Lytechinus pictus: one gene and its partner. The protein of the gene in region 2 purifies or fractionates together with the protein of the main gene of each other region. This does not show direct contact. Links are inferred from orthologs where the notes say so. Each region holds a gene or a part of one and is shown on either strand. Other genes may lie near its edges. The genes, in order: dnaJ homolog subfamily B member 11-like and dnaJ homolog subfamily C member 3-like.

The links.
Region 1: the proteins of dnaJ homolog subfamily C member 3-like (region 2) and dnaJ homolog subfamily B member 11-like purify together in Homo sapiens (affinity purification with mass spectrometry; 3 studies listed by BioGRID and IntAct, with this or other methods). This does not show direct contact. The link is inferred for Lytechinus pictus from reciprocal best matches to the Homo sapiens genes DNAJC3 and DNAJB11.

Annotation. Positions count from the first base shown.
Region 1 is NC_087245.1:13,274,855-13,283,364, reverse strand, and holds the start of dnaJ homolog subfamily B member 11-like, read right to left. Parts: upstream 3,605-8,510; 5' UTR 3,503-3,604; coding exon of another isoform or gene 3,351-3,502; 5' UTR 3,217-3,350; coding exon 3,152-3,216; intron 1,783-3,151; coding exon 1,626-1,782; intron 1-1,625. Other genes in the region: serum paraoxonase/arylesterase 2-like, read left to right, coding at 3,351-3,502, 4,555-4,625, 5,433-5,488, 6,725-6,887, 7,853-7,988. UniProt on the Homo sapiens protein: As a co-chaperone for HSPA5 it is required for proper folding, trafficking or degradation of proteins.
Region 2 is NC_087260.1:12,715,955-12,724,051, forward strand, and holds the start of dnaJ homolog subfamily C member 3-like, read right to left. Parts: upstream 3,507-8,097; 5' UTR 3,370-3,506; coding exon 3,282-3,369; intron 2,639-3,281; coding exon 2,528-2,638; intron 245-2,527; coding exon 45-244; intron 1-44. UniProt on the Homo sapiens protein: Involved in the unfolded protein response (UPR) during endoplasmic reticulum (ER) stress.

The DNA of each region.
Region 1 (8,510 bases), on a different chromosome or scaffold from region 2:
AGAATGAAAGTAAAGAAGCAAAAGTACAAACCTGTATTCTTTCAAAATTCATTCTCTATGTGACTCTGTAACAACTGGAATTTCTTTCTATTCTTGACAGTCAGTGCAATAAGTGTAACAACTTTAGATACATTCTTTAAACAAGTGGAATGCCTCTGGCGGTCTCTTCTGATGGTAATTCAACAGATTCCCCCACAGAGCCAAAGTTCATTGACCTTTGATGTTGGTCATGTGACCTGAAATTTGCACAGGATGTTCAGTGATACTTGATTACTCTTATGTCCAAGTTTCATGAATCAGATCCATAAACTTTCGAAGTTATGATGGTAATTCAACAGATACCCCCATTGGCTAAAGTTCATTGACCTTTGACCATTGACCTTTGACCTTTGACCTTGGTCATGCGACCTGAAACTCGCACAAGATGTTCAGTGATACTTGGTTACTCTTATGTCCAAGTTTCATGAATCAGATCCATAAACTTTCAAAGTTATGATGGTACAGATTCCCCCACATGGCCAAAGTTCATTGACCTTTGACATTGGTCATGTGACCTGAAATTCGCACAGGATGTTCAGTGATACTTGATTACTCTTATGTCCAAGTTTTATGAACTAGACCAATAAACTTTCAAAGTTATGATGGTACTTCAATAAATACCCCCAATTGGCCAAAGTTCATTGACCCTAAATGACCTTTGACCTTAGTCATGTGATGTGAAACTCAAGCAGGATGTTCAGTAATAATTGATTAACCTTATGTTCAAGTTTCATGAACTAGGTCCATATACTTTCTAAGTTATGATGACATTTCAAAAACTTAACCTTAGGTTAAGATTTTGATGTTGATTCCCCCGACATGGTCTAAGTTCATTGACCCTAAATGACCTTTGACCTTGGTCATATGACCTAAAACTCAGGCAGGATATTCAGTAATACTTGATTAATCTTATGGCCAAGTTTCATGAACTAGGTCCATATACTTTCTAAGTTATGCTGTCAAAAACTTAACCTTCGGTTAAGATTTGGTGTTGATGCCGCCGTCGGAAAAGCGGCGCCTATAGTCTCACTCTGTTATGCAGGCAAGACAAAAATTGGTATAGCCATCCCGTAAAGGCCAAGTCCACCCTAGAGTATAAACTACAAAGGGAATAGTATATGGGTTACATCATTGGTTACCTAATTTGTATACAGAGAAGGCTGACCAGGATGGGCATAACTATTTTGCAAAATTTGAAAATGTCATAATTTTTTATTTTACACCTGAATTTGACAAAATGTTCTATATCTATAAGAAAGTACTCCCTGGAGGGGAAAAATGAGGATACCCTTAACATCGAAGTTTATAACAATGTAAAGTAAAGTAAGATGACAACCCCTACCATGCCACCACCCCACCCCCTCCTTCCAGAGGCATGCCTTTAAAGAGTTGCAATATAATCAAAATCAATCTGAGATGCAAATGGAAATAATAAAGAGATGAGGATCAATTTTAATTTATCAATCATAACTCTGAAAGAATGGGCTGGGATTAACTATATATTCAACAATAATACAGCCTTTCCATAAATTCATTTTAATATCTATGCTATAAAGATAAGGAAAAAATGGAAACATCAAGCCTACCTCATATGCAGCACCAAGATCATGAAATTTTTCATTAGCTTCTGGATCATCCTTGTTTTTATCAGGATGATACTGCATAGCTAATTTCCTGTATGCCTTCTTGATTTGGTTGGTAGAAGCATCTCGAGGCACTCCAAGGATTTTGTAAAAGTCTCTCCTGTTATGCATAAACAAAATTTTATGATTTATGAGCTTCTAATTCAAAGTATAGCGTATTTAGATACCTCGAAATAAGCTATATCCACTGCAGTTTCCCAACAAAGTTGTGATATAAAAATGTTCTTTCGTTTAAAAAAAAGGAGCTAAATAATGTTGTTGCTAAATAATATTGTTTTCGATTTGAAAAAAAATAATTTCAAACACCTTAAAACAATTGTAATTTTGTCAGAGAAGCATACATTTCAGTAAACTCTAACATGCCACTTAAGAGCAATTTCTAATTCAAAGAATTGAATGCATAATTTGAAAAATGTAAATGAAATTATCAAAATTCTAATCAAGTGTGATATGATGAAAGATTTGGGGTAGTACCAGGGTAACTCTCTGGGCCAGGTTAGAAGTTAAGATGCAATTAAATAATCAAGAACTTTGCAATCATTAGTAGCCTACATGTAGACTAGATAGTAGATTCTAGTCTAGACTGATGTCAGAGATATGCTCCGCTGAGACTTCGCATTTTTTCCTTCAATGGGCATAATCAAAGACAAAGATCGGCAGGAGATCGCTGATTGTGGTAAAATCTGATAAAATCGGGAGCCGATTTTAAAATCCGTTACAGCCTTAATTTATTTCTGGCACATTTTTCGGAAAGGTGGTAAGCTGAATGTATTTAAATAATTTATCTTTAGGCCTATTTAGATTACTTTTTCCCACCTCAAAAAGCAAAATCATAATCGAGGAGGGTGAAAAAGTGCACCCTTTTCTCCATAGACACTGTACAGTGTAATTAAGCGGCGGTTGTTTGCTCCACTATTACGAGCGCAATAGCCATCATCCATCTGTCATCTGTGTTGTAGGAGGACCAAAAAATCAGAAAATGTTTTTAAAAGTTAAAACTCCTCCGAAACAGCGGATGTGGATTTATCAAATGACAATTATCAGTCAACGTTAATCGTTAGTCATAAATTGTTTTAAGTGATACTGTCTACTGATAGTGATAGTCATGATACTTTGATACTCAGAGATTAGTTTGACAATATTTCAAATATCAAAATCAAATAAATGAAATATCAAAAATTACATTTAGGCCTAGGCCTACTATTTCATGCACAGATTTTGAAAATATCCAGAGCAAAATATTATGTTTTTATCTGCTTATCCCCACGCATCCACATACACACGATCACGATTGACATTCTGGAATCTGGGCTTAATTAAGTTTAATTATGCCAATGGCTTTGTGAGCAACTAAAACATATTTTATAACGAGTGGGACTGAACAGGCTTTACTTGACATTAGTTCTGCAGGTTTAACACATTTAAAGACACAATTTTCTAAATTTCTAGATTAATCAAATATAGCTTACCCTGCTAATACAGTTAATGACAACTGGAGGAGAAATAAGCATACATTCCATGTATAAATAGCCATGTTTTTGCCATGTGAAAACGCCGGTCTTTCGGCTCAACACTCCTTTCAGAATTTCCACGAAGTCGTTTTTCATTCGCTGTTGCGTTTACATCTGATGCGCACGCAACTTTATTGGCCATGCCACGCCTTCATTCATGCTAACTTTACAGTCGAGTCTTTGCAATTTTCTCTCCATTCTCCCAGTTGCAGTTCTCCGTCAAATTCTGATTAAAATGTGGTTATCAATCCGTAGTATAGTCACCTACATCGTTTTTGCTGTAGTGATTGACCAGCTTGCTCGGATCGCGTGAGTTTGACTTTTCGATTCGATTTACAAAAAAAAGTTTGAAAGCTCTCCTAAAATTTAAAAATGAACCTTTTGGGCCTGCGACGGCTCACCTTTCGAATCGATGCTTGCCTCCGCCCGCAGTTAGGGGGAAGACAACAGCCGCTGGTAGATAATTTTTCCGTAGACACGCCCCTTTTATACAGTGACTAAATAATACTAGATTATCTGTCTTTAATAGATAAGGGGAGTGTTTCATCAACATTTTCATCCGACAAGTTGTCAGATCTGACATCTTTCTCTGATGTTGATTGGCTGAGAGGTACTGTTACTATGGTAACTGTCGGATAAAATGGATCTTGTCGGATAAAACGTCCGACAAGTCCTTTCATGAAACGCTCCCAAGAAGTAAAGTTTGGAGAATAAAAAAAAAATTGACTATTCAGATCAGGGTTAGGTTTAGATCAAGTTTTGTTTTGTTTCACAAGAGTTGATATTTTTGTAATAAAGCTGTGGGTGAAGTCGAAGAGGATTATGACTTTGTCTTTCCCCTTTGACTTTGTTACTTTTGTTGTTGTTTTGTGTCACAAGACTCAAGAAAGAGTTGATATTTTTGTAATAAAGCCGTGGGTGAAGTCGAAGAGGACGTGTTATGTTACTTTTTTTTGGGGGGGGGGAGTTACATATGGGACATTTTGTCTCCAATAGAGAAGGCACAAACTTCTGATTTTAATAATTTAAATAGTTGTAGGCCTATATTTAGTATGGAAATAAAGAGTTTTTTTAATGCTCTATGGAAACATATCATAGGACTGACAAGAAAATTAGCCATTACAACAATTCATATTTTCAATTCAAATTTTCATAGTTCCATGAATTTCTTGAAATCTTTTGTTTCTTATTCTCAGTTTTCACCATTTTTTTTTATTGTATTCTTTACATTGATTATAACAAGGCAATCTTTTGAAACTCCAAAAAGGTGAGTAAATCACTTTGGACCACTCTTGAATTTTCATAAGTGCCTGTTTCTGGTGTTATTCAGGAGCTATTTTCTTTTTTACATTTTGAAACAGATATATGATGGGATTTCACAAGACTGTATACACACATTATCCTGGGAAGTGTAGAGCTCTACCAGGAATTGGTAAATATTGACTAATTCATTTTCTTTCTTTCCTTTTTATGCCTCTGCCCATCTTACATGGTTGCTATAGGAATTTAATGTATTTTGATTGTCATCGGTCAATTTTGTTAATGTTTTTTATGATATCTAAAGAATTGTTCAATAGATGAACATCAAAGTTGATCCAAGTATATAAATTAGGAGTGATATGAATAATTTGGGAGTAATAATAATTAATAGATTGATTACAACATAAAGGATATTGTTACATATCCTTATTTAAGAGAAATTACATTCTTAATATAACTTTAAGAAAATAACAATGGTTATTTTGTGTATTGAAGTATTTTTGGAAGAGTTGCTTTTTACAAATATTTTTTTTTTAAATAATAATAATACCTGCTTCTCAGATTTTTTGTATTCATCAACTTTTCACTTGACCTTGGGCTGGAGTGATTCCTTTATAAGGGAAATTATTTCAATACAAAATTAAGAAATTAGAGATAACACGAGTAGAGAAATCATCCCCAACCAGGGGCCGCGGAACGGTTTTCAAAGTCGGGGGGGGGGGGCTGACCATGCAAAAAATCACAATCGTATGGTCATTTTTACGTTTTTGTACATGGTTTGGGAAAAAGCCCCCCCCCCACCCTGCTTCCGCGGCCCCTGAATACTGAAACAATTTCCCCCTTGTGAGAGAATACGATATTGTTATAATTTGAATGTAATCCTTAAAGTGTTTTTGACTCTTTTTAATTTTATTATATTTGTTTCTTTTTAAGTTGTATTTTCAATTTCACTTCTGTTTGTTATATCTATACCATAAAGAAAATGGATCTGAGGATATAGTGACCTCGTCAAATGGACTTGCATTCATATCCGCTGTAAGTTAATGTGAAGCTTTTATAATGAAAATAATAATCATCATGATATTTTATTATTATTTTTATATATTTTTAATTGATATTATATTTAGTTTAATAATAATAAAGATAATTTCATTTAGCGCATTAGTAGATTTAACACCTTTTTATGTGCTTTACAGGGTAAAACATTTATGTATTTGTTAAATATGAAACAAAGTATTGGTATGAATTACATACTCAAGGGTAGAGAGTATTAATACAACATAAAACTATGAATTCAATCAAAATTTGCACAAGACTTGTGTTAATAGCAAGTATTTATCGATTGTTTGTAAAATCACAATAATTATCATTATTATTACTATTATTGTTAGTAGAACTATTATTAATATCATCATCACCACCACCATCATCATCATCAGTACTATTTGTTGAAGTAATATAGGAGTAGCAGTAGTAGTATTAGTAGTAGAAGTAGTAGTAGTAGTAGTAGTAGTAGTAGAAGTAGTAGTAGTATACATCTAGTACTACTTCTATTAATTCAGCTTCTGCTTGTACTCCTACTTCTACTACTACTACTACTACTACTACTACTACTACTACTACTACTACTACTACTACTACTACTACTACTACTACTACTACCACCACTACTACTACTACTGCTACCACTTCTAGCATTACTGCTGCTACCAGTGGCGGACCGTGACCCGGAGGAGACAAAGCATTGGAGGGGCACTGTATTGTTTGTGAACAATGCTGTGCCCCTCCAATGCTTTGTCTCCTCTGGGTCACGGTCCGCCACTGGCTGCTTCTATTTCTACTGCTGCTGCTGCTACTTTTTATGATAATTATTATGATGGTAATTGCCAATAAAGAATATTATATTGGCAAGAAAATTGAATATACTATTTTTTTTTATTGTTGTTGTCGTCATTATCCCTATAGATGATGATGACAATAATCACTAACAAAACACTGATCAATATTAAGAATAACATTGAATAACAAATCATTTTTGTTATCATCATCATCACTACAATTATTATTTTTGTTATTTATGTCATCATCACCATAATAATATTGTGTAATTGCTTTTATTGCTGAGGTAACAAACTGTAGGTCTAATCCGTTATGGATTATTTATACTTGTATTTCCAACTTGACACTAAAGTAAACTTTCTCTTTAATTGTAAGAATAAATCTGAGTACAATATTATGCTCTATCGCCTATTATTTTCTTTCATTCAATAGGGTGTCTTGAAAGCATTTGAACCTGATCAAGATATATTGGGTAAAGTCTTTCTCTTTGACTTCAATTATCCTGATGATGATCCTAAAAACATCCAGATTGTTGGATTTGATCCCTCAGACTGGATACCCTTTGGAATGGACATTTGGGAGAGTGGGCCAAAAGGTATTTTAAGAATTATTACTTTGTAGACTTGTTTCTTTAATCTAATAGCTTTGTGAAAAAGGGCTGATATTTGATACAAGCTTGAAGTAGACACACATTGAATTTTTTTCCCCAAAAAATTAGTATAGATTGGTGGGAGATGGTATGAAAAAGGGAATTCAATAGATCTATGAAGTGACAGCCGGTATTGGACATTCTATTTTGCCTTTTCAAATTAAATTCAGATTACCTTTCAAACCTATTTCTAATTATTTGATTGTTTTTCTGTGCTGCTCAGTCTAGAACATTTAGAAATCATGATCCATTTCTAAAGCTTTAGCCTAGCCTCCCCCTCCCCTCATTTTATTGGAGCCACTATTGCTATTGTATTTGTGGAATGTCATAAAAGTTTAGGTACTTTGTCCAAAGTCAGAGGCATGTCTTTTGCACGGAATCCCGCAAGCAGCTTCACATTACTGATTTTAAAGCAGATACGAACCAATAGCGCCATCTCGAGTCCTCAACTACTCATACCTGGCCAGTTTCCTGACCCATAATGCTAGTGTAGTCTATTGATATAGACCCACTTGAATGATAACATGCTCATTAACTAATCGTTACATTTATACCGCAATAATTATTTTACCAAGCAGCAAAACAATTACTTTTCCTCTCAAACATTTTAGTTTCTCTACACAAATACAATTATAGGTCAATTTATTATCTGTATTATTATATCTGAAAATGTATATTCTAAGACTATGTATATATAACACACAGTCAATGAGAGACCACACACAGTTCACTCCCCCTTTAACACTTCAACTTAGACAAAACAATGCAGGGAAGCTGCTATGAAAAGGTAAATAGTGCCTTTTAGAGCTGGATTCCTGCTGAAACACTTGGAAGAGATTTTGGACAAGGTACCTTATTTAGGATTTCAAAGTCATTAATTTATACTTATTGTCAATATTACTCTCATTTAGATAATCCCACACTGACCCTGTATGTTATCAATCGGCACCCCGATAGAATAGGGATTGAGGTGTTTGACTTTTCATACCAGAAGAAGATACCTACCTTAACACATCAGAGAAGAATACACCACAAGAATATTTGGAGGTTGGTATTGTTCATAATTTCTTTTTTAATTTATAAAACTTGTGGGAAGTAAAGAGGCAATTCTAATGTCAATTTTGAAAATATTTCTAAAAAACCTGAAGTAAATATGTATAAAGTCAAAGTTAATCAAAACAAAAGAGAAATCTAAAATAAACTTGTAAATGCAATTACAAAGTTCATGCTGCATTAACTTTCAAGTACAGCAAATTTACATGACCAATGCCATCATTTTCATGACAGCCCTATTTCTTTAATTCAATTGTTACCTGCCAACTTGTATTGTTTCATGTAATATAGTAGAAGTCAATATTGATTATGCCAAGAAGAGAGTAAACTACACAAAAAAGACCTAAGTTAAAGCTTGTCATTAGCTATCACTATTCCAGTTGATTAATAATAGTGAATTCTTTTAAAGCGCACACATCTGTCGGGCAAGATGCTCATTGTGCTATGTATAATCATAAAAATTATGATACAAATGTCTTACATTTTATAATTAGGTAAAGACTTTCAATCTTAATG
Region 2 (8,097 bases):
AGTAGTAGAAAAAAAGAACAGAGAAAATGAATCCAATATCTCACCACGGCAGCATAATCTTCCCTAGCTTTAGCAAGATGTCCCAGCTTAAATAGTACATTGCCATGGTTGATGAGAGCGGGAGTGAAGTCCTTCTTGAGAGTCATGCTCTTCTTCAAGTCTGGTAGAGCCAGTTTGGACCTTCCTTGGGCCAGGTAAACAGCGGCTCTCTTGTAGTATGCCATGTAGTTCTCAGGATCATTGTCTTGACAAAATTAAATAATAAACCTTCCTTTAAAGGGATGGTCTGGGCTAAAAATACTTATATCTTAATACATAGAGTAGAATTCACTGAGCAAAATGCCGAAAATTTCATCAAAATCGGATAACAAATAATAAAGTTATTGAAGTTCAAAGTTTAGCAATATTTTGTGAAAACAGTCGTCATGAATATTAGGTGGGCTGATGATGTCACATCCCCACTTTCCGTTTTCTTATGTTATTACATAAAATCATAATTTTCCATTATGTCATACTTGTGTGAATAATATGTCTCCCTTATAATGAAATAAGTTGCAGCAATAAATATCTAATGCACTAAATCAGCTGTCATTCCCCTTTTTCTAGTTCTTGGAGGAAAAAATTTGAATAAACCTAATTTCATATAATAAAATACAAAAGAACAAGTGGGGATGTGACATCATCAGCCCACCTAATGAATATTCATGACGACTGTTTTCACAAAATATTGCGAAACTTTAAAATTCAATTAATTTTTTATTTGTTATCCGATTTTGATGAAATTTTTTGGCATTTTGCTCAGTGAATTCTATTTAGCTATAAATACTTCCAGCCCGGACCATCCCTTTAATAGAGGCATATCTTTACAGAGATTTCAACTGCTCTCTTTTTGCAGAGAGTTTCGTTATAGTCTACTGAAGGTTTCATTTTTTCAAAGATTCTAACTATAATACACAATGTCTGTTAAAGAAAATATTCATACTATTCTATTTTTCTAACCAATTTTTTTTTTCATACAAAAAACCCCTGCAATTTATTTTTAGGCATCCCTTCACTTATGTATAGTTTAATGATTTGCAATATTGGTGCAGTAGCAAAGAGCATTATTTGAATACATTCTGACTCACACACAGAAAAGTTCACACCAAACTGTGATGAAAGGGATTGTCCGGGCTGAAGAAATTTATATCTACATAAATAGAGTAAAATTCACAGCAAAATGCTGAAAATTTCATCATATCGGATAATAAATAACAAAGTTATTAAGTCTCAAGTTTATCAATATTTTGTGAAAACAGTTATATCCACATTGTCATGAATATTCATTAGGTGGGCTGATGATGTCACATCCCCACTTTCCTTTTTGTTATGTTATTACATGAAATAATAAATGTTTAATTTTTTTATACATGTGTAATTGATATGTCTCCATTATGAAGAAATAAGATGCGGCAATAAATAACTAATGCACTCAATCAGTTGTCAATCCAATTGCTTTAGTTCTTGGTAGAAAAAATTTAAATAAACCTAATTTCATATAATAGAATACAAAAGAACAAGTGGGGATATGCATCATCAGCCCACCTATTGCATATTCATAAAGACATCCCTAGAACTGTTTCACTGGAATAAATGCAAATCTTTAAAATTCAATAACTTTGTTATTTGTGACCTGATTTTGATAAAATTATCAGCATTTTGCTCAGTGTATTTCACTCTATTTATTGAGAAATAAATATTTCCAGCCTGGACCATCCCTTTAATAATACATGTTCCGTGTTCTTTCATTAGGTATAATTCACAAGGGAGATTTCTAAAAACTTTCTCTTTGTTACATGCTGTCCTGAGGCTATTTTTAAGTGTACACAGTACTGAATTTGATCTCGGCTTTGTTGTACCACAAAGGTTGGCAATGGATTGCAAATATAAGAGCACCATTCTGATTGGTTCCTGAACAGTATTTTTTTTAAAGGGCATAGAGCAATCGATTTAATGACCCATTGCTATAATTTAGGGCTTGGTGGCAGACATCCATTTTTTCCCCCCCATTTGCATATTTTCTTTAGGGATGCACATAGCAAATGAGTGCTCATTACACTTATTTCAATGAGCTTGAAATTATCATTATGAAAGGTAATTGGTTTAAATCCCTTCTGTGGTTTCAACCTATTTTGTGAATTTGGGCCTGACAGCATGTTTTTCTAGAGGTTTGGAATATTCAAGTGGATAATACATATTGGCTGGGTGTTGGGTTCGGACTTGTCCTTTAAGCTATCACCAACAGTGGCTATATTGTTTTGTTAATTTTTCTCCTCCTATTTAAACAAAGTTACCGGAACAGAACTATCAATTTTTTCAATGAAAAGAAAGTAATTTACTCATAGTAGGTTGCTATGGAATTTAAAAAAATATACAGTACCGTACACGCTTTACACTATAGTATCACATCGAAAGTGTTTACTAAGCAGTCTAATGGTTAATTCATTACTGGCACAGTTGGTAAAATAAGACTGGTAAATGTTTATACCTATTGCAGAATTATATTGGGCCAGTGCATCAGCAAGCTGACCAGCTGCTAACAAAGTGTTTCCAGTCTCCATGTATTTCTTGGCCTCTGCTTCCGATTTCGCTTCTCCATCTGCACAGAAAACAAAGAACATCCGCAAATTTTTCATGAAATAGATTAATTGGCATCGAGCTCATCTCTAGATTTAACTCACATTTGAAAGACTAGAATATATGCCAATTTTTCTTCTTTCTTTTCATTCAAACTTCAAATTCAATCAATTATAAAGGGAAAAGATCAATACAAATTAAAATGCCATGGAAATTGGAAAGAGCTGGAGTTAATTGATGGGTCAGTAAGTTTTTTAAAATGCTGATGGAAGTAAGACAGATGTTGAAAGAATCAATGTACGTAATGACTTTTTATTTCAAATTATTAAGTAAAAATTAGGAACAAATAAATCCCTAACTTGAAATTAAATGATCTCGATCATGTCGATCAGACAGTCAAAACAACATGAACAAGTCAAGCAATCGCATCTGCCTCCATCAACAACTTGTCATCTGTTGTAGATCCTTACTATGAACCTTAAACTCGGCAAAAACAGCGTGATTTCATAAACAAAGTGTTACTTTTACTTTCGTTAATCGTTAGACAAGTGATTTGGGACTTGCTTGGCCGACGACATGAGACTACAAGTACAACAAAGAACAATACAAAACTTGTAATGGATGGGACTACGGCAAAGGCGTGAGCAACAATTTTGAGATCTTACCATCATAATGAAGAGACAAAGTCACCAAGAGAACTGGAATCGAGCTTAAAAAGTTGTGCAAATTGAACATATCCCTTCGTCTCGCCATCAATGATGAGTAAATGCTCGATAACAGTCTGACATTAAGAAATTATCACCACTGCAACGAAATCGGTTCAGTAGCGGACTCGCATACCTTAATACACGTAGGGATCCCATACACGTATGTGCTACTTTTGTCAATTTGATGTTGGTCTAATTTATCTCAAAGTAATTATATTACTTTCATTGAAAAGTAATTTTAATACCATTTTTTCTTTTGTAGAAACTAAGATAGATTTAATAATATTTTATAATCAACTATAATATATAAACTTAGTCAGTATGCAATATCTAACTTCAAACTTGGATTAAATCATTACGTTGCACTACACAAGAAAGATGTGTTGCGATTTGATTGGTCAAATAAGGACTTCTCGAACGTCAAATTACACATGGACTTTTCGGCTCCACCCATCAACAAAACCACTGTTGATTCTCGGTGAACTGTTGTTGAATTTGACGCGCATGCCCAACGAGACTGTTTTTTTTTTTTTTTTTTAAACTAGTGGCCCCTCAATTCAAAATTGTTCACAAAACAAAACAAATTTAAAAAAATGAAGGGGGGTGGCTGGGCCTGTGGAAATGCAGGGAGGGGTATAGTAGGCCTACTGATTAAAGGACAAGTCCACCCAAACAAAAAATTGATTTGAATAAAAAGAGAAAAATCCAACAAACATAACAATAAAATTTCTTTAAAATCGGATGTAAAATAAGAAAGTTATGACATTTTTAAGTTTTGCTTAATTTCACACAACAATTACATGCACACCCTGTTGGGTATGCAAATGAGGAGACTGATGACGTCATCCACTCACTATTTCTTTTGTATTTTATTATATAAAATAGGGAATATCCTATTTTTCTACTCCTTGTCAAGTGAAACAACGATTAATTCCTCCCTGAACATGTGGAATGGGCATTTTTAATACTATATGATTTAGTCAACTGAAGTTGGTCCTTATTGTAAAATCTATAAAAATGAAATATTGTATAATTCAAACAATAAAAAACAAAAGAAATAGTGCATGAGTGAGGGACATCATAGATTGTCTCATTTGAGTTGTGCATATCACTGTTTTGTGAAAAATAAGCGAAAATTTAAAATGTCATAACTTTCTTATTTTACATCCGATTTGATGAAATTTTCAGCATTTTGCTAGTTTGATTTTTGTCTATTTATTCAAATCAACATTTTTGTGGGGTGGACTTGACCTTTAAGATTTATTTGATAGAGATAGGTAAATAGCATACACAAGGCGGCCCCTACAAAATTCACCAATATAATTAACTCGACTTTTCGGATGTCAAATATCACTTAATCATATCATCTGCAAATATGACTCTATTCTGGTATTTTTCTTGCCGTCCGAAATACTTTTTTTCCAAACAGAAGGCGAAAATGAGCTTCCGACAAGAAGGTAGATTAGCCGCTAAACATTGTGGTTCAGTCAAGTTTGTCATGATTATTGTCAAATCTGTAAAAATTGAAATATTGTATAATTCAAACAATAAAAAAACAAAAGAAATAGTGAGTGAGGGACATCACCGACTCTCTCATTTGCACAACACTGAAATGTACATATAACATGTTTTGTGGAAAAATAAGCGAAAGTTTAAAATGTCTTAGCTGTCTTATTTCACATCAGATTTTGATGAAATTTCAGCATTATGCTTGTTTGAATTTTCTATATTGATTCAAATCATAATTTTTCTGGGGTGGACTTGACCTTTTAACAAGGAAACTATCTTTTTTTTAAATCAGAACTTACAGGCCTGGTACAATAGGTTACAATAATTAGAGTTCCGTATGTTCAGGGCTGGAGGTCAAACTTTGTTTAACTTTACGGTATCATGAGGAGAAGATAAAATGTTTTATATTTTATATACTAACATAAAAAGAGGTGATACGTGATGCCATGACCAATGTCCTCGTTTGTATATATACATGATATACAGACCATGTTGTGACTGATTTACTGTTTTGCGAAATTACGCGAAAGTGTAAAATGTCCTAACTTTCTTGACCAACACCAGCGTTATGCTTGTTTGGTTTTGTCCTTTAATTCAAATCTACATTTTTTGGTTCATGTGTTTATTCTTTAAAGGGGAATCCGAACGACAATTATTATGCGTGTAGTGATAAGACTAGAAGAAAAGAATTAATGGTAATTTTGACAGAGATGGGACAAAGATGAAAAAAAAGTTTATTCATTCTTCAGACACAAAATTTCAAGCACGCTAACAAATATTGTTTTAACTTTCATTTTTTTTTTTAGTTTTAAACAATTTGTTTAAAAATTTAATTTGTTGGAGTGTATACAGAATTAAAACACGTGCGTAAAAAATAAACATCGTTTTTACAATGTTTCAACAATGTGCAGGATATAATATTGCTGATCATATTTTTCATTCAAAAGTTAACCAGCTACATCAGGACCATCAGGACCATCATGAAGGACAGTATTGAAATTTATTCAATTCATTAGTCTATATGATTTACATAAAACATTTTTCAACTGGCTTTAATTACATTGATAATTAACAGAAAATTGCACACATCGACATGACTAGGCATTAAAAAAATTCATTAGTAGTAGACATGACAAAATGGGGAATAAAGCAGCTAGAAAAGGTCTATAAATAAAAAGCATGCATGTTGAGTGTTCTGGTATTATTGACCTGTAATCACGTTGATTACTGATCGACCCTCGATCAATGGGGTTATGATGGTTGAGTTCATTTTTTATTGGAGTACATCCTTATTTGGACGGTTTTGATGTATAGTAATGATTTCCCCCGGATATATATATAGTTCCGCGTTCCTACTCCATCTTTCATGATCCTATTTCAGCTATAGTCCTATTCACATGACCCTTCCTCATAATATTCCTGCGTTCAGTCGGTTCAGCTGGGTTCACCTTTATTTCGTGACCCGTGCATTTTCGCCCACGAGAAACATCTGTAAGACTGTATTTTTGTGGAATAACGAGGAAATGATATATTTAGATACCCCCAGGTATTATAGAGAACGTCATGCGTCACGCCGGTGTGCAATTAAGCTACCACATTGTGTTGTACGGTTGATTTAAATTGTAACGATTGACCTAAAACTTTTGGGGTTACCCTAATTCAGTTTGTTGTGAATGACGTCTTCTATTACGTAACACGGATTATCATGCCGATCCCGCTGAGAGCGCGCGTCTTTCTGCATGTCGTCTGCTTCCAATATAATGCGCTATGCTCGGGCGAAATGACTATTCATCTACCTGCATTTCGAGCGACCGGAGCACAAATCTACTTATAGTAAAACAACTTATTCCTCAAATTTCAGGTAATATATACTTTCTATGAGCATTCCAGATGATGATGTGGCTACTAGCTTTATTGACTTAGGAGCGAGTAATTTGCAAATTGTGAAGGATTTATGTGCGTTTATATATATATATGCCCGGTTTTGTGTGGCAACTTTGCAGCCAGTGATGAGTGAAAATACGATGCCAGATAATCTTTGCGGCATGCGGTACTTTCTACGGAGTACGGGTAGCTGACACACGGGCAAAAGAGCGGGGAGTGGGATCGTACTGAGCTGGAGAAATTCAGAAGTACAGATGTAGAGCCGGCGAAATTCAGAAGTAGAGCCGCTGAAATGGAAACATAATGATGCATGATGATGATGTTGATGATTCAAAGATGATGATGATGCCAGGTGCTGATTGGTGATATGGATGAATGTGGTGGTGATAGTGGATGCATGATGATGATGATGTGCACAGCCACAAGGTGATGATGAATATGCATATGGTGGTAATTAATAGTGGCAACATGATCGATGATGGTGATAGTGATGATACCAGGTGTTGATTTGTGAAAAAGGATGGTGGTGGTTGTAAATGTGACCACATATATGATGGTGACGAGTATGGTGGTGATGAGGATGGTGATGGTGATGAAGAAGATGATGATGAAGATGGATGATGATAACGATGGTGATGATGAAGATGATGATGATCTTGTAGACGAAGATGAAGATGATGATGTTGATGGTGATGATGATGATGATGATGATGATGATGAAAGATCATGATGATAATGATGATGAAGATGATGATGTTTATCTAGATGTTGATGACGATGGTGGTGCATGATGAAGATGATGATGATGAAGATGATATGATAGATGATGAAGATGATGATGATTATGATATCAGGTGCTGATAATACGTGATGAGGATGAATGTGGTGGTAATAATGAATATAATTTTGATGATGATCATATGACGATGATGATGAAGATCATGATTCATGTTGATGATGAGAATTAATATAATGCCATTTAAACACCTATCGTGCCTGGTGAAGGGAAAATTGCTGAATTGGCTACCCTAGCTAATAATTTATGACTCTATGCCCAATTAGTGTTGGTAATGAGGTAATACACAAACATATTAGGGACCTCATAATAGTGTGATGATGATATTTTCATATGCATTACACTCGTGATATCTTTTACATAAATTAGTGGAAGGCCAACACTGTATGCTCTATTGAATTAGGAGTGATCAAAAGAGAGAGAGGGAGCATATATATATTTTTCATTTGGTCACTATATTATGGATACATATAGGCCTGTGTAGCCATTCTCCATTGGTTAAGTAGCTTTATGCTTGTTTCACAATATGCGAGATATAACTTTTGGTGAGCTTTTATGTTGACGAACTTCAGTTCGAACTCATTT